4 linked regions of the Drosophila melanogaster genome follow. The protein of the gene in region 1 interacts with the protein of each later gene in a pairwise test. Each region holds a gene or a part of one and is shown in the gene's direction. Other genes may lie near its edges. The genes, in order: CG1572, CG15347, CNT2 and lqfR.

Region 1 (6,087 bases):
CACCGAAAGTGATATTATGTTTATCAAAGTTTTTATGGCTTTGTAATTGATGATATAAACAAATGGTTATAGACATGGTATTGGATATCATTGGTAATAGATATGTTGTTTATAAATGGGGTTATCCATAAATAATGTACGAGCAGATCAATCAGATATTATTAATCATATAAATTCAGTGTGCATATATACTTTGTGGTACTAGATAGATTATGCATATCTTACATATTTATATAATAATTCTAATTCTAATATGAACACACACTAGTATTTCTTTTCAGTGCACTCTCTATCGCCCTCACCCACTTTTCTCACTCTCCACTTTCAGGTGGCGCTGAGTCAGAGAAAAAGTCCGAGGAGCTTCCACTAGCAAGTTTAATTCCTTTCTTTTTAATTGCCAATCCGTGGGCGGCCAATGAACAGTGTCAAGGGGGCGTGGCCGGGGGCCTAGTTGCACTTGAAGATTACAAATATTAAGGTTGGCCGCTCCGCTGCTTGGCTGCTCTGCCGCTCACTCGATGACATCATGACGTCAGGCGTCATTTATACCGCGCTAGCCAGCAGTCAAGTCAACTTGTTGGCGTTGTTGGCTGAATTGCCTTGCTGATACCCTGGATGAAAACGCATCCGGGTGGCATAGACCAGTCATTATTTCCAATGTTGTGGCCAAAAAACTAAATATTTTCTTCCTTTAAATCTGAAAACCGTCTTTTGGCCAAAAATACGATTTATGCAAAGGGTGTTTTTATCATAACTTGTCTAAAAATGGTCATAAACGCATAGGAATGACTGTTTTGTGCAGCTAATAACCCCTACTAACTATCCCTATCACTTTTTGATGGATTTTGAAAAATTAATTTTTGGGTCGATTTTTGCATATTCGGTATTCATCAAAATTTGCGAAAAATGGCAAAAAATTAAAAATCCAAATTTTAAACACAGTTTGATTAGAATTTTGAATACGAACTCAACGAGGTATGACAATCCATATTTGGATCATTATTTCCAATGTTGTGGCCAAAAAACTAAATATTTTCTTCCTTTAAATCTGGAAAACGTCTTTTGGCCAAAAATACGATATGTACAAAGGGTGTTTTCTTATAACTTATCTAAAAATGGTCATATAAGTACAAGAATGACTGTTTTGTGCAGCTAAAAACCACTACTAACTATCCCTATCACTTTTTGACGGATTTTGAAAAATTAATTTTTGGGTCGATTTTCGCATTTTCGGTAAGGGGTAACATCATCAAAATTTGCGAAAAATGGCAAAAAATTAAAAATCCAAATTTTAAACACAGTTTGATTAGAATTTTGAATACGAACTCAACGAGGTATGACAATCCATATTTGGATCATTATTTCCAATGTTGTGGCCAAAAAACTAAATATTTTCTTCCTTTAAATCTGGAAAACGACTTTCGGCCAAAAATACGATTTAAATAAAGCGTGTTTTTATCATAACTTGTCTAAAAATGGTCATAAAAGTGCAGGAATGACTGTTTTGTGCAGCTAATTACCACTACTAACTATCTCTATCACTTTTTGATGGATTTTGAAAAATTAATTTTTGGGTCGATTTTCGCATTTTTGGTAAGGGGTAACATCATCAAAATTTGCGAAAAATGGCATAAAATTAATATTCCAAATTTTAAACACAGTTTGAGTAGAATTTTGAATACGAACTCAACGAGGTATAACAATCCATATTTGGACCATTATTTCGCATTTTTTGGCCCAAAAAGCGACATATTTAAAAAATTGCAATGCATGTTTTGTACTACCAACCTAATTCGCTTGTGAAGTGTTCTAAGTGATGCAGGGTATCCCCCAAGTCGAGTCGCAGTAAATCGGCCTGGAAGGCTTCTGCTGGGTCTTGTTTTGTTTTCGTCTCGGCTGCGTCGACTGCGACGCTGAAAACTGTGGCAGAGGCAGCGGGCCAAACGCTTTTATTTTTCAGTTTCGGTTTCAGTTTCGTTTGCAACGTGCGCGCGAAAAGACGCAAAAGTCGAAAGAAAAGTGCGAGGAAAACCAGTTGGCTGAGTCCTACGCCGAATTTTGAGAAAAGTAAGAGTAAGATCCATACCGAAAACTTTAGATATACAGAGAGAGAAAGAGGTACATACCACCCATTTCTACCGCTGGGACTATATGTGTGTTTTATTGTTTTTTTTTTTTTTTTATATATTTTTTTTGTACATTTCGAAAAGCAAAAGGAATTGGAATTCTCGGTACTTGGCTGTGCATTAATATGTTGTTAATTTTTTTTCTCCTACAAGCATTAAACTGCATTATTATTGACGGCGATGATATCATTTCCAGAGTTGAAAATGCGAAACCGAATGTGAGTCGCGTTTGCAGTGGGGAAATATTCTTATCAGCAGAACATTTGATAGCTTGCCTTTTGGTACATATGTATATTGATTAGTTGTTGTCATTTGGGAAATTGACAAAAGCGGCGTCTTTGTTCATCTCTTCCGGTTCCAAAGAGGAATCTTAAAGGGCCCAAAACAACAACCTGTTGCTTGGGCCAAGTTGCTTGGCATGCGAATTAAACTATCGTACATCATAGGCATGATATCATACCGCTTTTCGGCGGAAATCCGCCATCTAATCAATATTCGGAATGTATTTTGTTTAATTCCGATAAAATGTCGCACATGGGTTCTTGTTATTTTGGTTTTTGCTTTGTTTTGTTTTCTTATTATTATTTTTTTTTTTGGTTTTCGGTTTTTGGTTTCGGTATTACGCTTCGGAATTTGGGCCGCACCCCTTCCATGCCACTGGGATATACATATGTATATATGTATGTGTATGTATGTGCCTCTACCACTTTTGTGAATTTCGATGAGCATCATTCACATTGTGTGTAAACTATTGCGTCACCGGTGGCGTCATCGTTTTTGAACTCGTCTAATGCGCCACCGATTTTGAGGAAGGTCTAAGTTCTGAAATCCAACCCCATTCCAATTGCCATCAATCTTGTATGAGCACATTTCCTAAAACAATATAATTCGTTGGTATTTTCTAAATTGATCTCTTCCTTGCTTAGTTAAAATATCAAGAATATAAAATTAGTTACGATTTTCAACTCCTCTGTATGGGTCTTACAAGGCTTTTATTTAACTCATGTTTGTTTTAAGCCAAATATAGCAAATATAGCTATAGCAGAGCAGTTAATTTGGAATTAATCTCACTATCCTTCCGTTTGTTATTTGTTTTAAGCTAAACTGGTTTTATTTGTTTGCCTACAATGTTATTCGGCTTGATTACCAATCGTCAAATCTGAAGTCAGAACTTATAGTCACAATCTGATTTCCAGATCTGGCACGGCATTTGCGAATACCCTATAACCATTATGCCCACCCACGGCATCTGTATACTTAAAGTGTGTGTGTGTGTGTGTGTGTGTCCCAATTACGAACGAGGCGCTTTTCTTCAGTTTTCCTTCAGCTTTTCCACAACGAACAGCAGGCAGCAGACCATAAAGTTCATGACGTTTATGCATACATATCTACATACATTCATATATGTACATACATACAGACTTACATATATCCAATCCTAGGTGAACATATAGACGAGAGCGATTCATCTATTTTGTTCGCTGCCGATCCCCAAAAAGGGGGGAAATCGTTGCGCGGGGGGAGAGGAGTGGTTCTGTATGGGGCGGGGGGGTTTTCTCTCGTCGGTCAAGTAAATAGATTTTTCCGATTCTCCCACTGCTTCAATAACGCATTTGGCGCTTTTTCGCCTGCGAGGCCGGCATTGAAAATTGTTTTAAAATTAGACAAAAAGCAAAAATCCAAAACAAAAACAGCAACAAATGGATGGCCAAAAATACACAAACATTGTATGGATACATTGCAGATCGATGGGCGTGGCAAGGGCGTTCGATCTGTAACAGCTGGCCAAAAAGTACAAAAGATACAAAAAAAAAAAGCAATAAATAAATAAAAACACACCATATGAATTACGATATTCGGGGAATATAAGTGAAAGAAAAAGAACCTAAGACTTACTCATTTTAATCAAATAATTAAACCATAAATTAACACATGGATGCAAATATACTTTGCATGAATCACCAGCAAATTTGTTGGCTTATTTCAACGAATTTTAAGCATTTACAATTTGATAAGTATTATTATTTAATTTCAGTTCTTATCACCGAAGTTTCTTATATTTCTGTATTGGTATTAGCATCCAATATTTTACTTTTTTTTTGTGTTTATTCATTTATTTATTTGTCTTTGCAGACCCCACCTTTAACCCCCCGAAAAGAACCACCGAAGCAGAGCGAAGATGTCGCATTCAGTGACCATTACCCGCACCACCACCAGCACCACCAACACCTCCTACATTGTCCTGAACACGGGCTATCTGAAGACTTTCCCCGGCATCCTCAAGCTCTTCGAGCTGGTGCGTTAATGCTCCCAGAATTCGATAGCAACTTTGAACTTAATGTAACAACCATCACGATTTTTTGCGCAGATCATTGGTGCTTCCATTGTGGGAATTCTGGCGTTCAACTACCAGGACTACCACAGATACTTCTATGGCCAGCAGGATCTGTTCCATTATCTGATGGCCGTTACCTTTATGATAGGAACGTTCTGTTTACTCCTCGCCTGCCTCACGTCGCTCAGCACGGGCGGCATTATTGCCAAGACGATCTATGTGAGTATAATCATCATTGCTATATCTTTTGTATACTTTAGTATTAGCCATGGAACTCCAAACGTACATATATATACTTCGCCTTGTATCTGCAATCCGTGCATTTCAACGACCATTAACCTTTTTGCAGGAGCTGATTTACCACAGTGTGGCCGCCATCCTGATCCTGGTCTCGTCCACCATCCTGCTGCTCAAGCTGCGCGATGTAAAGCACGACGCCTATATGGCAGCCGGTGTTTTGGGCCTGGTCAATGCGGTGCTGTACTTCATCAGCGCCTTCCTGGCCCACCGATCCTATCGCGGCATTTAAGCACTAAAGCACCCAAAACCCACCGCCCACTCGGCCATTCAAGTGGAATTTGCAATCTCGAAGCATTTGTTCTTCCCACAACCAACTCTAGCCACTGGTCATGCGAAGCAGGAGAAGGAGGCGAGAGCCCAGGGATATACAAACATAGATGTAGAGAAAGTGGGTGCCAAGCGGCGGAATCTTTGTTGTACTGTGAAACGTTCTTTGGCGCTAGTTACACTTACTTGTACTTTTACCGATATATACAAAACTTTTTTTTTGTCTCACTTTCTTTTGTACCAAACAGATTGTCATGTATTCGAATAAAGATGTGTGTCTATATGTTTTTTCTAAATGTGTAGTAGTTTGTTTATTTGTTGCTTCAGCTGCAATAGTTTTTTATTGTCGGCATGCTTTAATTGTGTTGGCCAGTGTACTTTGTACTTTTTGATTTTGAACCGATCGTAAAAAGTGTTGCATACTTTTGGGCCATGCGGGAAATGTTGCTGTTAGCAAGCAAATATATAAATTCGATGAAATCATAATTTCATTTAATTTAATACCAAAGAGTAATAGAAAAAACGTGGTGGTAATTTTTATGGTTTTTATTGAATATATTTTAAATTAGTTATCTATAAAATAATTACTATATAATATAATATATAATAGAATTTGCATCTTTGTTTGTCTTCTCATAGAAATAGATTCTCTAAACACAAAAAATCAATTGAAATTACTAATTACTAATAATAATTAAAACACACTTCTCGCTCCCTCTGGCGCAGTTTTTATTATCTGTTGATGGGCATAAAGCCCTCGCCTTTAACTACTAATTTACATATACAGTAAACACAAATAAGTGGTTTAGGTGTATTAAAAAAAAAAATCATAGTAATTAAGAGAAGTACACGCAAGTATTAAATATAAAAGAAAAGGGTAATCGATTACGATAAATTAAGCATTTTTCTTTAACAATTAACTGACCCTCCTTCGATCGCCGACCACACAAACGTTTCGCCTAATAAATACAACTCGTATATCAAGCATTAAGATATGATTATCGAAAAAAAAAAGAATTACATTTAATTATATTCGCTGCTGGCTGCATTTTGCATTCT
Region 2 (4,587 bases), 3.1 Mb from region 1:
TTAGTGTCCATTTCGCGATGCTTTGCCTCATCGGGCAGCCTGGTGGCATTGTGTTGGATGCTCTGCTTCCGTTCGGCCAACTGGACGCGCTCCTCCTCTGTGTACTCCACGCCATCGGGCACGTACATAATGGAATTCATGTTGGTGTAGTTCCAGGTTTCGATCTTTCTCAGCGGATCTGGCTCCTCGAATTGCGTTTCTATGCTGGGCAGCATTAGGGCCCGCTGCAGTTGCTCTGCGGAGAGCTTCTCATGGTTGTACAGTACTGCGTATTTTTGGCGCAGCTTGGCCTCGGCCGTTTCGATGATCTCCTGAAAGCTCTGGTTATCCTCGCTGGTGTACTTCTGCAGAAAGGCGTCCAGCGATAGCTTCGCGGTGGTGTCCCTGCCCTCGGCATCGCTCTTCTCGGAGCCGTCCGTGGAAAATGGTGTGTCTGTGGCCCGGGAATTTGGCAATGGGGTGTTGCTACATTTCGCCTGACTCACTGGTGTCTCAAATGTGGCCGGGGACATGGCTGAAATGAAGGAATTCAAAAAGTTAATGGGTCTATCTATTGAACTTGGCCAATGTATAATTTCATCAGACTTGATTTCAAGTAAGATAGTAGCAGACAGCGATGTGCCAGTGGTGTTCATCCAATTGAGTACAATACCCACCATTATTCCGTCGGCTGGTGCTTCTTCCTGTCCCGGAAATCCTGCCCAGACTGTAGCGCTCCCGAATCTCGGCCATTTGTACAAAGTCGCGCCGTGACTCCGCGTCCAGGTAGTCGTTTTGGGCACGCAGCCGCTCCAGATCGGGAAAGAAGTCGCGCTGGATGATCTTAGACATCTCCTCGATGTACTTCTCCTCGGTAAGGATCTTTGGCTTGTTCTTGTGGCGCACCATCGCCGTGGGCTTTTTAAACTCGGCGAGTGCTGAATTCTGGACGCGGGCCACTTCCATGGCCAGGCTGCCGGGAGTGCCAGGTGTCCCCGGTGTGGCAGGTGTTCTAGTCGTGGCGCTCATTGCCGTTTATATCTCGCTTTTTTCGTAAATAACTTTGTTTTGTTTAGATATAAAAAGTGAATATTTTTGTCTGCCAGCAAAGTGTGACCGTTTTAAGTTTCACTCAGAATAACAAAACGTCGGTTCAAAATATTTCCCTGTATTTTTTTTTAATTCTCGGATGTAAAAGGTGAAATTAATCAGCTTAAAAGTTTCGACTTCCTTTACAATAAATTGGTGAGTATGAACCAATTTAAATTTAAATAGAAACAAAATGATATTTTGCTAAACTATATTAATTAAAAACTCTGGCAAGGAGTACTTATCGACGTGTTATCGATAAGTGTGGAACGCATTCAAATGCGCGCTAGCATTTGAATTGAAATTTTAATGCGATTAGCTAGCACTTGAAAATGAAATTTATTACGATTTTGCAAACATTAAAGATATATTTTTAAAACATCTGGAAGTTTCGCAAGTGCGCTGACTAACCCGCTGAACATAATTTATGAAAATGAATGTATGCCAAAGAGCGACAACTTTAGCGTCGTGAATCATTTCAAAACACTTTTTTTTCTCAACTCACCAATAGAATTACTGTTGTCGTGGTGCCTTATCGTAAAGCTGTAGGTATATATGAATAGGGTATAAAGCTCGGCAAAACTCAAATCACTCATTGAACCTTTTCTACTCCCTTAGTTCTGGTTCAGCTCCGTAACCAGTCGCAACATTCGATCGTCGTGAAATTAGTTACATCAGTTATCAGCCATGAAGTTTTACCTGTTGGTGATTGCAGCCCTCTCGTTTTTGGCCTACATCAGTTGTGGTAAATGTTGTACCTGCCTAAATGTTGTTCCAAAATAAGTTTCACTTTTAATTTTCATCGGGATCGTATTTTTTTTTTTTTAATTTTCTTTTTGCTCTTTGAATTGAAAAACTTATTGAGTGTTTTATATAAGGTGTGATAAGCGGTGATATCATGGACACGGAAATAAATTCATGATAAGCTATCAATAGGCGAGTTTCCAAAGAAACTTTTAAAGGTTCTTAGCTTTGTAACTGGGCAAACATATTCTTTTTTTTCTAAGTGTGAGTGAGCCAGCAAAAAGATGTGAAAATTGTACGCCATATATTTAAACCATGTGTACATACAGCTGTGTTCAAAAAAATAGCAGTGCAAGAGAAACTAAGAAATGCGACGGTTTTTTTTTCATGTTTCGGGATCGAATTTTTATTCCACTTATTTTTGTGAATTGGAATGTGTAGATAGGGAAAAAAAGAAAATGTCGTTAGTTTTCTATGCTATCCTTTTTTTTATTTACATTCTTGAGCAAAATCACAACTTTTAGGCTGTTCAACAGAATAGCAGTGTCTGGTTTTGACCAACGTAAACTCCCGAAATGATCAATATTTTCTAAAAAGTGAGTTTGAATTTGAATTTGAATTTGTATATTTAAAAGGGCAATAAATTAAAAAAATAAAAAATAAAGAAACGCAGAAGCAAATCGGCTAAGAATAAGTTCGTTCTAAGTCAAGTTGAATTTTGTTACTATTTTTTCATAGCACTGCTATTTCTGCTTGTTTTAATCTATATTTTCGAAACTATTAAAAAAATGAATGTGAAACATTTGTTGAATTGTTTAAAATTAAATACCTAATGATATTATAAAAAAAATTTTCCCATTAAAACTTGAAATCTTAAGATTTTTTTATTTTAAACTCAAGCACTGCTATTTTTATGAACACAGCTGTATGTCAGCGGTAATTTAATTTCTCTTTGTGATGAAGTACATAGTTATTCCGTTTCATTATTAAAGTTGAAACATAATCTCGTACATTCGTACTTTCATGTAAACACTTGGTAAATATTTAATATTTACTGCCACCTGATATGCTAAATATAATTTGCTTGCAAGCTTTCGATTTATAGCCAATGTAAATTGACTCTTCTTATCAAAAACATACAAGTTTGCTGATTCACTTGTCATGGGCATGTTCGTAAGAATCGATTGTGGAAAATCGAGACAATTGCCATCCGAGTACAGTGCGCGTCATTGTAATAAGGCATGCAGGTAGATACATAAAAAGAAATAATCAAACACATTCAAACACATATGCACTGTGGTAGGTAGGCAGACTTTGCACGAAATCAATATGATGTCATTATGCCAACGCAACGATTACGAAAAACTTGATCTAATCTAATCAGGCATGACTCAATCGAAACGCTCCGTTCCACTCGCTCAATTTGCAGATGGATGCATCCAGTGCAATTCGAAGGACAACGAACGCTGCGCCACAGATCCATTGAGCCTGCTCAATCGCAACTGTTCCGATGGATCCTCCAACTGCTATTCCCGCGTCCTGGGTATGTTATCGCATTGATTACCCTGGCTGCACCATCTAATGGTATCTTTCGCAGATGGCTACACAATTCGCGGCTGTGCCGTCGATCTGGACAACGCCACGCGTAATTCGTGCAACAACGAGCTACTGTGCCAGCTGTGCACCTACAGCGAGGGATGCAATCGAAACACCTTCCCGTTGAGCCGCCTCATGTGCCTACAGTGCACAGGGAACTCGACCTCGTCGTCCTGCGCCACAGAGACCTATGTATCGGCCAAGATCTGCCCGCTGTACAAGTTCGGCGACAAGTGCTACATTCGCAATAGCAATCGCACCGTGGACGGATCCTTCCAGCGCGGCTGTCTCACCTCGGCGAATGCCAGGAAGCAGTGCGTCAAGGATGGCAACTGTTATACGTGCGAGGGACGCGGCTGCAACTTTCTGCTGGCCAATGATACCAACATTCCGCTGGCACGCGACAGCGGTGCCCAGTTGATCATCTCCATGACGCTGCTGATCAGCGGTCTTGTCGCCGCCTGGAGACTCTAAGATGTAACGACGGCCAGAGTCGAATGATGGACGAAAGTCAATCATGCCACAGACCCAGTTCTTTTAGAAATTCCCGTCTTATTATTTTCTACATTCTAAAACATCATTATACATACATACATACACTGGGATGTTACATTTATACTCGTTTATTTCATTACTTTGAACAAAACGTTAATAAAGATAACTAAACTAAAGAAGACAAAAATAGAAATGGTTTAGTTATTACATTTTGGGATTGGGGGATAACCAAAACGTTGCTCACTTTGAACAGTTCTTCATCGTAATGTTTTTTGAAGCAAAAGTAAGCATAAAACTTTAATGCATAAACACAGTGAACACACATTTCACTTTTTACGAGGTGTCAACGGGTTGGCACTGCAGTTGACAACATGCCACTGTGTTTATGAAGTCCCGATTTCAATTGCGATACCCTATACCTCTATTCCTCGATTCCGATCCCAGACCAAGAGAAATCGACGACGAGCCGCAAGTACCGGAGTGGCAGTTGGAAAACCGGAAGCTCTCGGCGCAAATGAGGAGTGCATAAATGTGTCGACGCCTCCGAATGTTTGTCAATTACTTTTCACGGCTCGCTTTTCCGGATGCCATTTTCCATTCGATCGAACTGGATGTGCGGAAATAGATCAGTTTTGTGCATGGTACTCGGCTCCAGCGATTTGTTAACTAAACTAACTATTTATA
Region 3 (6,075 bases), on another chromosome or scaffold:
CCCCGAACTCATGCTGGTCTTAAAATAATGTCTTGTTTTATATTTGTAACTTTAGGGCCAGTTGACTTAATTAGTTTTTAGTTCATCGGTTTGCCAACCGCGTAACCTTATTTAAATTATATTTTAAGTTTCGTTGTAAGCAGTGCCCATTTTCGGTCAAAATTTGATTTTATTTTTAAATCTCCTGTACTCTAGAAGCCTGTGATTTAGATGGGGTTGAAGTCGCACATTTTTGCAACAAAAATTGTCAAAGCCTCAAGAGGAAGGCAAGCCCGGAAAACAATTTATACGAATTTAAGTAATATATTTAGATGCTAAACAAAATTAATCAATGCCTTATCGAAGCATTACAATCCCTAACTTCTGCACAATTCCCTCGAAAACCAGCAAGCCAAGAACGAACCAAATCAAGCATTTTCGATTCTATTGATAAGTGATTAAAGTCCCGCAATATAGTTGTGTTACATCATAAATAAGTCACTAGGTTTAAAGTGCCTTTCTGCTAAATCTCAAAATTCCCCATTGGAACCCATTGACCCTTTGGTTTTAAGATTTTAAGAACCACATGTTCATCCAGTCAAAGCACATTGTATCCCTAATCCTTCATATCCATACCTACTAAGTGCATTTGCAAGTCGATAAATGAAATATAAAGATGAATATGATCTATTAATAAATTTAAATCGCACGAACACGTGTAGAGTTGCGAATCAAATATAAAGCCAGTTGACTACAGACTTTCTTGTATTATACCCCTTTTGGATCAGATTATCACACGAGGGGCTCGACGATAAGATACGATGCTCTTTCCTATTAAATCGCACAGAATTACGATTGGCAACCTCCTTTAACTTTGCACCCTTCGATTGGCCAATCAGTTGTGTCATTCTGCTAATCGCCGACCACCAATAGAAGTCTTTATCAATGGGCGGGTGTACGACTCGGTATCGCGGTAGCCTTCCTCTATCGCAATATAGCTATCAGATTCCTCAAACGTCATCGCTATCGCATTCAATCTGCTGAGGGGTTTATGGCCCTTCTGAAAATTATCTGGCACTAATATCGGCCTAGAACGCATGCCGAGAACATCTCATTGTTAACAGCCAGCTGATAAAACAGGCAACATGTCATCTCAATTGCCTATTTAGCGGTACACTGCCATCGCAAGTGTATTAGGATGCACAGGGAAAAATAAGTATAAAGAACTTAAAAAGATTATCAATCGAACCTACTTGAAAATAGGGCAATTGATCATCATTAACTTAATATTAGACTGATATATCTCAATAAATATTATTTATAATATCTTCAAAGAAATTTTTTTTTATTAAAATAAGAAAAGTATAAGATGATTGAAACCAATGTGGATTCTAATATTATCTGCCTGTTTTCAAATGTTATTAAATTATTATTTTTATTTTATATTATAATTTTTTAATTGATATTAAATTGATCTTTTTCATCAGTGATCCATTTTGCGGCATTGCACTTTAAGTTAAAACTCAATTTGTAAAAATTGAGTTGGTACAATCAAGCTAATATTTATTTAATAATTATTTCACTGTGTAGTTAAACCAAATTAACACCTTACCAATCGGTATCACACAGTATTAGCTGGGTACTCAAGTACCCATTGATTGCTATGATGAAATAAAAAGCCTCATTAAATATTAAAATCGAGAAATTACAAATTTCTTACGAGCTTTAATGTTAATTTGAGGTAAGCTTTGCTCTCAACTTATATTTCTGTAAATCAAAAAGGCCAAATGGTATCAAGACACCATAAATTATTAGATAGAAAAAAGGCAGTGCGAATCCTAAACCTGATACCTTCTTATCAGATACCGTGTAGTAGCGATTGTATTAAAAAGGCCCGTTCGGAGCAAACCGAATTTAGTCTTGCCGCGAGTTTCAACGAGCTACAATGGCAGTTAGCCAACGTTTTTAGTCTGGCTAAACAGATGCATTTATCAGTCATTTGTATTCGGGCAGACAATAACGACGTTAAAAACCCGTTTCGGCCATAACAAACCTATAGTACTCATCAGATACGAAGCAAAACAAACAGTAAAAAGGTGAATTAACTGTCGTTCCAAAAATTCAAGGTGCGATCATTATATAGACTTAAAATACAAACTGAATACTCGTATAAAAAACGTGTTTTTGAATGTGAACTCTGTATGATTTTAGTCAATTTTGTAGAAAAAACAATAATCGGCAAAAAACACGTGTTCTCGAGGCTGAATATACATATAACCATGTTCTCAGAGCTGGTCTATTAAATATAAGTGCTTTATTAACTTTCACGAGTTTGGCTAAATGCCACTCTGATAGTGCTATCAACTCTGTTTCGATTACCCAGAATGGAAAATCCTAACCGAAAGACCACCTAACGAGGAACTATACTATATTGAATGGGATTTACAGCCCGAATTTATCAGGAATGAGAATTGAAGTGGATTATTTATAGCCTGTGCTGTAGTTTACAGCCCAGTCCCGTTGTTGGCCTCTTAAGTTAATGCCCGGAAATTATTTGAGTGGCCATCCACGTGCTGGAGTTTAGTCATTGACTCTGAAAAACTAAGTGCCCAATTCAAAAATCCTGGCCCATGTGCAAATTTTAAAATTGGAATCCGCGGATCCTATCGCTTGCTTTTGAGTGGCATGAATCGTTCAAATTGCCAAACTTTGATTCAGATAGCTAACACACACCTATCTTGTGCTGTGCGACACTTGGCATATATGCCCACTCGAGTCGAGGGCTAAAATAATTTGAAAGAGATAATGCCAGATTATGATTGCGGCAAATTACTTGTCGCTGGGTATTAATACCACATACTCGTAGTTTTTCTCTAAGTATATTAGTTTCGTTTAGGGTATATAAGATATATATAGAATATATATAGAAAGAATTTGACCCTATAAATAGTATATTCTTCATAAGGATCCGTCAGTTGTCCGTCCGTCCGTCCGCATGAAGTTCGATATAGAACTCTAGGCAACTTTAGGCATGCAAGTTTGTTTTAAGCCGTTGCCACGCCCACCGATATCGCTAAAGTCTGCCCACATGCTTAACGTCTAAATAATGTTGTGATAGGCTTATCAAAAATAGGACTCGTTCAAATTGGACCATTAGAAAGGTATTAAGAGTAAGCTGAAAGCTTATTAACAAAATATAGCAAGTAAATTTGCTGCCAAAGCAACAACTCGCTTTGTTGTACCGGGTATATAATAGTCGATACACTTAACTTAAACGTTCTCTCTTGTTTTTTGTTATAGATGTCAGCCGAATCATCAAAAGGAGCTATTAACAATGGCTACGAACTGGATCATGTAGGTTTTTAATTAAAAAAGCTTTGTAAACCAGATTAAATATTATAAAATGTCATAGAAGGAGTTGGACATCCGTGACTCGGAAGAATTCACGGAACATCCACTGGATGACACCAGCGAGGTGGCAAATAAAAAGGGATATTTTGAAAAGAATCCAAAAGTAGCGCGACTGGTGAGGATCTCGATTTATGTACTGCTGCATCTGTGTGTTGTGGGGTACTTCTCATATGCAACCTACCACTATCACGACATAAGTAAGTATATCGCCAAAATAATTAGCAAGAAGTATACCATTATTTATCTACAGCCAACTATGAGTGCTATTGGAAAGACAACCCATTGTGCGGCATCAACTTCTGCACGGGCTATGGAATGCTCCTGCTCCTCCTGGGATTCATCTATTTGGGTCTATTCTACTACTATGTCTTTAAGCCGATGGTGGGGCACAGCCTGCACAGGAACTATATCAAACCATTTTCAAAGAAATGGCACAACTTCAGCAGAACCAGGTAAACTATTATGAAGAAAATATATGTTTAAATCTTCTAACTACTCCTCTTCGTTTTCCCAGAGTTGTGTCATTGGCCAGCATCGCATTGCTCCTGGCCCTTTTGGCCATCTTTGTGTACTTCGAGTGCCGGGACGAGACCCAAAAACTGGTGTCCCTGGTGGCACCCTGCTTCTTCATCCTGTGCGGCTACGTTTTCTCCACGAATCGAAGAGCCATTAATTGGCGCATAGTCATCACGGGAATCACGTGCCAGTTTCTGCTCGGCATTTTCTGCATCCGCTGGGAGGTGGGACGAAAAATCTTCGAGTGCTTGGGCAACAAGGTGGCCACGTTTCTGGGCTATGCCACCGATGGAGCCGAGTTCGTGTTCGGCGACTTCCTGGTGAACAACAATGTGTTCGCCTTCGCCATCCTGCCGGTTATCTTCTTCTTCAGCTTCTTCATCTCCATCCTGTACTACATGGGTACAATGCAGTGGGTGGTGATCAAACTGGGCTGGATCCTGCAGCAGATTCTGGGCACCACTGTTTGCGAAAGCGTGACGGCCGCAGCCAACATCTTCCTTGGCATGTCCGAGAGCCCGCTGCTCATTCGGCCGTATATCAACAAGCTGACCAAGAGCGAAATCCACAGCATCATGGTGTCCGGATTTGCGACCGTGTCCGGAACCGTGTTGGCGGCCTACTTGTCATTCGGTGCATCGGCCGCGCACTTGATCACCTCCTCGGTGATGGCAGCTCCCGCTACTCTGGCCATCTCTAAGCTTTACATGCCCGAAACGGAGGAGAGCCAGACCTCATCCGATTCAATTGAACTGGAAAAATCGTACGTATTTCTAAGGCGCCTAGTTTAACCCAAATGTCTAACTAGTTCACTGTCATCCTTGTAGACAGGACTCTTCGCTGCTGGACGCAGCGTCCAGTGGTGCCAGCAACGCCGTGCCCATTGTTCTGGGCATTATCGCTAACATAGTCGCCTTCGTCGCCTTCATCGCCTTCCTAAATGGTCTGGTCAGTTGGTTTGGTTACCTGGTGGGTCTCGAGCAAATCGACTTCGAGTGGATATTCTCTAAGCTGTTCATCCCGCTGGTCTGGGCCATGGGGGTGCCAAAAGAGGATTGCGATATCATCGCCAAGGTGGTGGCCACCAAAACCATTATCAATGAGTTTGTGGCCTATGAGCGTCTGGGTCAATACATCGAAAATAATGATATCACTGTAAGTTGTAGATGGTGTGAAACCCATAGCTCATCTGGAAACTAACGTTTGAGGTCGATTTTTGTAGGCCCGCAGCGCTGGAATCGCCACATTCGCCATCTGCGGCTTTGCCAATCCCAGTTCCCTGGGCATCCTTATCGGATCCCTCAGTGCTATGGCACCACATCGTCGCTCCACCATTACAGCAGTGGCTTTCCGAGCGTTTGTGGTGGGCAGCATAGTCTGTTTCGTATCCGCCAGCTTTGCAGGTCAGTCGATAAACGATCATAAATATTTCTTATTATTTTAACTAGTTTTACTTTATTATAGGCATCCTTATACAAGAAGATGACGAGCGGGCGAACTACAACAGGATATTCGAGAAGTTGGGTCGAAAGAATGTTACTCAGTTTTAGTTCCTTAAAGTTGTAGTTCGTGATAATTAGCTGATCAAATTTAGCAAAATACAATTCTTATTTATTAAAGATGTTTAGGATTATTTTTACCTATTTGTTTACTAAGGGGCTGTGGGATATAAGTCATAAGATCCACACAACACTTCTTTACACTACACACTGTTTCTCATTTATACACACAATGGCAGAACCAATAGAAGGCGAACAGGAGGAAAAGCCTCCGCCATCGAGGGCAAAGCGAATCACCTATCTGGTACTCCATGTGCTGCTCCATATCATATTCATATCTTACTTTACGGCAGCCACAATCATTTTCATCTTTTACGGTAAGTTACCCCTTTGAGTTCGAATGTAAATGTTTATGAGGAAAAACCCAGACAAGGATTCCAAAGAATGCTGGCCCAATAGGGGCTCGGAAGCCACAACCGAATCGATAGATAACTCAACCGAAGATGATGATGATGATGATTATGACACAGAAGAAACTTCTGAGAAGCCAGTGCCAGAGGTTAAGCCAAAACTATTGTGCCAAATTAACTGGTGTCATGGATACGGGTTTCTCATCGTCTTGTTCATCTTGTTTTATATCCTATGGCTGTACTACTGGGTATTTAAGCCA
Region 4 (7,892 bases), on another chromosome or scaffold:
GGCCGTGTTCTACTAGACCCAACATTGTTAGCGACCACACAAAGCTCAACCACTCGGATTGCTTGGTAAAATCCTCGCGGACAATAGACTTTACTAGCTTTTTGCTCACTTCCTCCAATTGAGCGCTTTTGAAGTTTAGCAGGGCCGATGTTAGGAAATAGGCACTGAGATCTTGGGGGCGACAGATTTCACTATTCTTTAAAAGCCACTGCGTAAGTGATTCCAAGATATCTACCGAAAAAAATAAATTACATTAATCACAACTTTTTCTGATGTGTTTATATCCGAGCTAACCCAAATCCCGGTATCGTAAAATGCCCAGGCTGGTGATAATGGATCCCACAACGGCAGACTTCTCCACATTCTTAGGCAGCGCCGATTGCACATCCGCACACACTTTAGCGCCTAGAACAGAATCCTGGAAATTCAACGTGGACATAGCGAACAGCACATCCCCCGCTTGCTTTAAATCCAGCGATTCCGACGCGCTGCTGATATTAAAGGCCAGGGAGCGCAAGAGAGGAGTACTACGCCTCTTCCGCTGGGCCAGGGTGCTCATCACCTTGACCATCTGGGGCAGACTGATGCTAGCTATCAGCTTAGCGGCCTCATCGTCACCAGCTACGCCAAGCACCGTGTTTAGGTCATCTGTTCGGAAGCCGGAAATCCGCTTGGCCGTCCCATTGTCACCAAGGTCCTTGTTGTTAGCATTATTATTTTTGGGAACCGTCCGGCCCAACATCCGGCAAATACGTAGGAACCTTGTGTCGTTCTCGAATTCCGAGATCTTTACTCGATTCAAGGTGCTCCACTCGGCCAGTATGGAGACAATTCTGAGGGCATGCTTCCTCGAGAAGCCATTGTTGTTCTCCGTGATAGTTAGCAGTCCATTGACTGTCTTTGCGTTGATGATACGCTCATCGATCTTGCTGGAGGCTTGGCTTTTGCTCTCATCTTTGGGATCGTCGTTTCTAAGGGATTCGAAAGCAGCGGCTACCATGTGGCCTGCAATAAGGATGGAGTGAATACCAATTAGTAAGGAGGACAACAATTTTAGAATCTACCTACCCCTGGGCTTTTTGGCCGCCTCCTCCACAGCCGGCGCGCGTGCTTCCGGCTCCACTGCATCCGATTGTGCTCCAGTGGGCGCCACGGGAATGCCCGCTGCCCGGACACTGCTGCTGAAGGCTGCACGGCGGTACAACTGGGTGACAAAACTGCCGGCAAAACGTTGTAGTCCCAACATTTTCAGTCAATCCACACGCTGCAAGAGACCACAGAAGTTTACATAACCTTTTTGTTTACATTTTTAGCGGCCAGGAAGGGGCTTTACAAAGCATGCCAATGATATAGGCTTATATTCATGACTTGAACCGTCTTATTTCCCCTGATATCCTTCACGTTTCATTTAGTATTTTCATTTATTTTAGTAAACTTTCCTATTGAACGTTGAGAATCCACAGATGACAGCAGCGTTCAGCTGATGGTAGTGTAGGGTAAGACCCGTCGGCTCCATGCAAAGCTTTTGTAACACTGCGAGCTGTGCTGCCAACTCAGCATTTTCTAGCTAGATCTGGCGTTTTTTATTCCGGAACTTAGGTGTCATTGCATGTGCTTTCGGTTATTTGGTAAATGCTTCCAATTTTATTACTATGCCGATTTCTCTTTGTGCTTTATTAATAAGAAAACTAATGTTTTATTGAACTATTTCGGTTATTGGTAAATGGTTCCCATTTTATAACTATGCCGATTTCTCTTTGTGCTTTATTAATAAGAAAACTAATATTTTATTGAACTATTTGGAGCACAAATTTAAAAAGCTAATTTTCATTAATAACGGCTACAGCTATTTATCGGATTTAGCTACACTTGAACAGTGAGAGTTGGAAACACTGTTTGCAACACTGGACACGACAGCTCACCAAATATTAGCTGCTGTGATTTTGTTTTACAATTTTCGTTTAAATTTTTACATTTTTGTTTGCGGAAAGCGCGGGTGCGAGACAGGTGCGCCGTTTCCATGCAAAAGTGCAAATCGTCAGCTGCAAAACAGTCAGAAAACGGCACGCCAAGCGAAAACGAGTTCGACGTCTTGTTGTAGTTGGATTTTCCAGCCACTTTTCGACGAGATTGTGTGAAAAATTCCGTAGCATTCAATAGTCTCAAAATGGTGGATAAATTCATCAGCATGTGGAAAGTGCGCGAATTGGCGGACAAGGTGTAAGTGATCAGGAATATATAGGATATATCCATACGTATATGTAATGGGATGTGTGTATAACATTCCCTTAACGCCGAAGTGAATGTTAAGACTCCCACGCCCCAAGTTTTCTGATTTCCCGCCACGCCCCCAACTCCTCAAGGATTTCAAAAGCCCTATGTCATGCATAAATCCCTAATAATTCATAAAGATATCTTACTTATGGATCAACTGCATCGGGGTGCTGGATTAGGTTCACGTTTTTAACTGCTTTCAAGGTTGTTCGCCATTTCAAGAGAGCTTTACCAACACAGCCACATTCCGATATTGATATCCATGTGTATATGCGCCTGTGTGTGTGGGGCTTTATCAAGAAACAATTTGTTTGCTTTCGACTGCCCAAATATAACAATTTTTTCACCTGTGTTAACAGCTCCACTTCCAGGCTTTCCAGTGAAATGGGTGTTTCTCTTTCCCCCATCGAATTATTAATTATGGGTGTCCCCTTTCACCTGCGCCTTTTATGGGGTAGTTATTTCTAAAAGCGAGCCTATAGTTCGAATAAATAATGGTGGCTCGATAGCCAACACCGAACTCATTAGGTTAAGTGCGCGGGTACACCTTTCCTAGGGCTTATCTCGAACTGATAAGGAACACCTAGATGGCCCATTTGCGACAATTGGCCCACTTCCATCACGTTTCGAACGTCTATCAACGTCGCAGCCAAGCCATGCGTATTACTTATTTATCTGCATCTTTGCATTGTATATCCATATCGTCACACAACGTTTACTTAAAAATACCAGTTCTGATTAACTGGCCCTCTATCTATTTGATTATCTATTCAATTGAGTTTACGGAATGTCCCAGTCAATATGCCTTTTTTCTTTACTTAAGTATATATCAATTATTTAAGGAAACAAGCTCGGATTAAGATTTGTATTTACATATGTACAAAAGTTCTACGACTAACATCGTGAATAGTTAATAGTTACTTTAAAATAAAACAATGACTTCGTTCCCACTTGCAGCACCAATGTCGTGATGAATTACACGGAAACGGAGGGCAAGGTGCGGGAGGCCACCAACGATGATCCTTGGGGGCCTACAGGACCCCTCATGCAGGAATTGGCCTATTCCACCTTCTCATACGAAACATTCCCGGAGGTGATGTCCATGCTGTGGAAGCGCATGCTGCAGGACAATAAAACCAACTGGCGACGCACGTACAAGGTAACGTTTTCAGTTTAAACTAATAAATATAGAGCTAACGAGTATATATTTACTTACAGAGCCTCCTTCTGCTAAACTATTTGGTGCGAAACGGCTCTGAACGGGTGGTAACCTCCTCTCGGGAGCACATCTACGATCTGCGCTCGCTGGAGAACTATACATTCACCGACGAGGGCGGCAAGGATCAGGGTATTAATGTTAGGCATAAGGTACGAGAGCTTATAGACTTTATTCAGGATGATGATCGTTTGCGCGAGGAGCGCAAAAAGGCGAAGAAGAACAAGGACAAGTACATCGGCATGAGCAGCGACGCCATGGGCATGCGAAGCGGTGGCTACAGCGGCTATAGCGGTGGATCTGGAGGAGGCGGCGGTGGCAGCGGTGGCTACAATGATGGCGACTATCGCTCTAGTCGTGGAGACAATTGGTGTAAGTAAGAAATTTTTATTTTTTTAAGATTTTTGTTCAAATTCTCTATATGTAATATTAATATTGATGATTTTTCTTCAGACTCCGACAAAAGCGCCGACAAGGATCGGTATGAGGATGATGATACTCACTACGATGGAGAGCGAGAGGGATCCGATAGCGACTCACCCAGTCCAAGGCAAGTTTTCACTTTTCCGATTAACCTGCTCTATATCCTAATGTACTCTTTTCTCCTCACAGACGTAACTATCGATACAATGACCGTGCGAGTCCTGCCGAAGTAGCCAGCGAGGCCAAACCTTCCAGCCTCAACATGAACATTCGTTCGAAGACCGTCAGTTCCCCTGTCTCCAAGCAGCCCACTTCAACGGCTTCTGCCAAGCCAGCGCTGTCCCAGAAGAAGATCGATCTGGGTGCGGCAGCAAACTTTGGAAAGCCAGCTCCTGGCGGTGCTGCTGGCATTCACTCACCAACTCACCGTGACACTCCCACCAGCGTGGACTTGATGGGCGGCGCTTCGCCATCGCCGTCTACTTCCAAGGCAAACAATAATACGCAAAGCAATAACAACGATCTGCTGGACGATCTGTTCAAGACCTGCTCGCCACCGCCGGGGCAGGAGAAGACGCTGAACAGTGCTGCCGTGATTGTGGATGACGATGATGACTTCAATCCGCGTGCCAGCGATGCTAGCCAGCAGGAATTCGGCGACTTCGCCTCTGCTTTCGGGCAGCCCTCGGCGGGATCGACGATCAGCGAGCCACCATCAACGGGCCTGGTTCCGGCTGCGAACGATGAGTTCGCCGACTTTGCGGCGTTCCAAGGCTCGACAACGTCGACATCTGCGCTGGACGGTAATTTGCTGAAGACTGCCACGCCGGCGAACGATTCGTTTGACCTGTTTAATTCAGCTCCCACCTCGACGGCAGCAGCCACAACGGCTACAGATCTCCTGGCAGGCCTGGGCGATCTGTCCATTCACCAAAGCATGCCCATGGGTGAGTTGTAGTTTGATTCTTGTAGCTTAACATATTATTAAATTTGAAATAGTTTTAAGATTAGAGTAATTGCATTGGCCTTAGTCACTTCATGATATATTTAGGTATCGCTGCATGAAGGTGCGCCTTCCGAGCTTGACTAGAGCCGTTATCTCTACCTCGAGCTCCACAGCCCACACAAAGATACACTATCTCATCCTCCCACATATAAACGGCAACATTTTCCAATCGGATGCACTCGTTCTCTTCTCGTTCTCTCTCGTAGCTGTTGAAGAGCAGTTGGCATCCAGTAATGATTCGATGTCGTCGGCTTCCCCACAGCCACCATCTGAGGCAATGCGTCTAGCTTTTTCCAAGGCACAGAAGCAGCTGCGCGATTTAATGCAGGTCCAGAGCGCTTCAGCCGTTGCCCAAGTAGCAGCTATTTTGGGGGAACTGCATAACTCAAACGCACTGCCCGGATTTACCACACCTGAGCAGTTGGTTGGCCTCGATCGTCAGACGTGCGACTGGACCTGTCTTGCCCATGGAGAGTATGCCGCATTGCTGAATCAATTGACAGAGCTATTCAGCCAGGATTGGCCAGAGCCATCGCAGGATGTTGAAGTCGTTAACATTTTTAAACTGGATCACAGCTTTGATTATGTATCGGTTGCCTTTGAGTCGCTTCAGACTAGATTGGATAAGTTTCCCAGTACTATTAGTTCCTTACTGGAAAACATGGTTAAGGATGAGAGCCTAATTTCTATCGCCTTGCTGCACATCTCCCGCCAGAGAGCTTCCTTAATGCAGCGCTTTGCGCGGACCATCAAAGTTATGCCGGAAAGAAAAGTGGAGGAGCTGGATGCCCAGGTGAAAGCGTTCTTTCAATTGCTAATCAGTCTGCCAGCCCAGGTGGCCAATCGACTGGGTAGAAGACTGCCAGAGACGTTTGCTCCAGTTTCTTATCAGAAACTCCTGCTGCGCCAGTGGCTGAAATCCTTGCACTTTGTCCTACAGTGCGATGATAATAGGGAATACTTTGATTTGGAACCGTACTCCTGGCTTTTGTCACAGGCTATTAACCTTATTTACGATGTTTCAACTTTGGAAAGCCTCCTACGAGTACTTAAGGACTACGCGGTGGCTCCCAGAGGAAGAAAAGTAGTTCATACCATATTAAAAGAATTGGATCCCGCTGCTTGCCTAAAAACAGCACAATCGGCTCTTTCTGCGGGATTGAACCTGTACGTTCTTATAGGTGCTGCCACTTTGGAGACACCTCATTGGAAGCATTGCCTGCTCCAGAAGTTGCCTCTTCAACGCACACCCGTGGATAATAAGCAGCTTATAACATTGGCCAGTTATCTTAACGCCGTAGCTCCTGCTCAACTGCAGGTTCTTTTGAATCAGTTGCTTGGAATCTGGTCGAAGCGCATTTCCTTGCAGAAACTGGGCAGCCAAGAGCACTTGGCTATATCCAAATTGCTTGTGTTGGCGGCAAAATGCCTTTGTGGGAATCTTGTAATGGATTTGAACATCCAGCGTCAGCTCCACGATGGACTCAGCAACCATTTGCAGTCCCCAGATGCACTGCAGCGTCATGTGGGAATGAAGACCGTGGAGCTAATTTTCAATTTTATTGCCTTGCCTGATGCGAAGGAGGATGATCGTCTACGATTTGAGTACGATTCATTTAAGGATACATTTCATTGGCACATCTTCGAAGAGTTTGATGAACTTGGCCAGTTTGAAAGCCCGAGCAAAACTAAGCTAGATGAGAAGCCTTGTGAGGATCAGCTGAAACAATTAGAACTTCATCTCAGTGACTTTATGAGTACTACAGAGCAGAAAGAGCCGCATAAGCCGAATATTGAAATACAAGCGAATCCCGCTCCCGAAAATCAGAATGTAAACATGCAGCTGGACTCGGATGACGACGAGCCACTGGATGAAGACGACGATGAATTGAAACCCTATGACATGTCCAACGATACAACCACCACCATTGATCAACGTCCCAAATTCGTCATCGACTTACTGCACTTGCTCCGAGAAAAGGTGGAGAATTATCAGGTGTTCGAAGGAGCCTTGGGCACAGCGGAGCAACTTATACGGGGTCAGCTGGCCAAACATGATACTCAGTTGGCCTTGGATCTGCTACAACTTTTCTTGGTCATGGAAATGCAGTTCTACTATGAGCAATTCGAACGTACGCAATTTAAGTGTTGCGTGGCCATTTGTGTGGCTCATCCTGGTCCCTGTGCCGAGTACCTATGCCGCCAGTTCCACACGGATAACTCCTTCTATTCGGCCAGTGTCCGTATTCTGATCCTTCAGGTACTGGCAGCAACGGCGAAAGAACTTTCTGGCGATGAAAACATGCAGAATGAGATGGAAATTGTGGATGTTATACCACCGGCAGCCAAGCATCCCCGAAAGTTCGAATTTCAACAGGAGGAGGAGAGTCCGGCCGCTCGTCTGGCCGCTGCGCAAAGGATCATCCGCGACCGGCTGCGGGCCAAGACGAAGAGATATTTCAGCAAGCCCAAAGCTGGAGATCAAATGGAGAAGGCCAACCCATTTCACCCCGTTGCCGGTACATTTTTCTTCAGTTTGGTGAGGGGACAGCGCACCCGTCAGATGCTTTACGTAAAATACGAAAATATTTCTCACGACATCGACACCCAGTTGCTTGTTAACCTGCTAAACACCATGTCCGTGTTGGTTATGTGCTCCCAGAACTGTCCACTGTTGCCAGCGATGACCCGCGAGATCTTTGACCTATGCGCCTTTGTGCGTTTCAATGCCGAGGCCCGCGTCCGAGCGGCCACATTGCAGCTAATAGGAATCGCCTTGGTAACCACACCAGCTCATGTGCTGGCCCAGCACTTTGCGGAGTCATTGAACGAACTGCAGCGCTGGCTGAATGACTTCATAAGATCGCCATTGGTGGGCGGAGAGACTTCGGAGGAGTGTCGTGAACTGGCCCAAAGCATTTTGGACACCTGCTACAAACTCTTTGATACAGCCGCCATGGAACAGGCTGCCTA

Evidence for each region.
Region 2: the proteins of CG1572 (region 1) and CG15347 interact in a two-hybrid assay, tested with the Drosophila melanogaster proteins (one large-scale study listed by BioGRID).
Region 3: the proteins of CG1572 (region 1) and CNT2 interact in a two-hybrid assay, tested with the Drosophila melanogaster proteins (one large-scale study listed by BioGRID).
Region 4: the proteins of CG1572 (region 1) and lqfR interact in a two-hybrid assay, tested with the Drosophila melanogaster proteins (one large-scale study listed by BioGRID).

The regions. Positions count from the first base shown.
Region 1 is NC_004354.4:11,554,519-11,560,605, reverse strand, and holds CG1572 (uncharacterized protein), read left to right. Parts: upstream 1-1,968; 5' UTR 1,969-2,118; intron 2,119-4,167; exon of another isoform or gene 4,168-4,196; intron 4,197-4,259; 5' UTR 4,260-4,305; coding exon 4,306-4,422; intron 4,423-4,494; coding exon 4,495-4,680; intron 4,681-4,810; coding exon 4,811-4,990; 3' UTR 4,991-5,556; downstream 5,557-6,087.
Region 2 is NC_004354.4:8,457,992-8,462,578, reverse strand, and holds CG15347 (uncharacterized protein), read left to right. Parts: upstream 1-1,680; 5' UTR 1,681-1,755; coding exon 1,756-1,813; intron 1,814-3,196; coding exon 3,197-3,355; intron 3,356-3,409; coding exon 3,410-3,882; 3' UTR 3,883-4,085; downstream 4,086-4,587. Other genes in the region: Es2, read right to left, coding at 1-514, 657-1,008.
Region 3 is NT_033778.4:9,076,837-9,082,911, forward strand, and holds CNT2 (concentrative nucleoside transporter 2), read left to right. Parts: upstream 1-1,884; 5' UTR 1,885-2,075; exon of another isoform or gene 2,076-2,105; intron 2,106-3,279; coding exon 3,280-3,333; intron 3,334-3,391; coding exon 3,392-3,587; intron 3,588-3,640; coding exon 3,641-3,842; intron 3,843-3,904; coding exon 3,905-4,669; intron 4,670-4,733; coding exon 4,734-5,061; intron 5,062-5,128; coding exon 5,129-5,309; intron 5,310-5,370; coding exon 5,371-5,456; 3' UTR 5,457-5,538; downstream 5,539-6,075. Other genes in the region: CNT1 (concentrative nucleoside transporter 1), read left to right, coding at 5,638-5,782, 5,834-6,075.
Region 4 is NT_033777.3:22,409,418-22,417,309, forward strand, and holds the start of lqfR (liquid facets-Related), read left to right. Parts: upstream 1-1,883; 5' UTR 1,884-2,167; coding exon 2,168-2,220; intron 2,221-3,231; coding exon 3,232-3,433; intron 3,434-3,492; coding exon 3,493-3,862; intron 3,863-3,943; coding exon 3,944-4,040; intron 4,041-4,102; coding exon 4,103-4,860; intron 4,861-5,125; coding exon 5,126-7,892. Other genes in the region: CG13850 (uncharacterized protein), read right to left, coding at 1-231, 295-1,005, 1,069-1,246.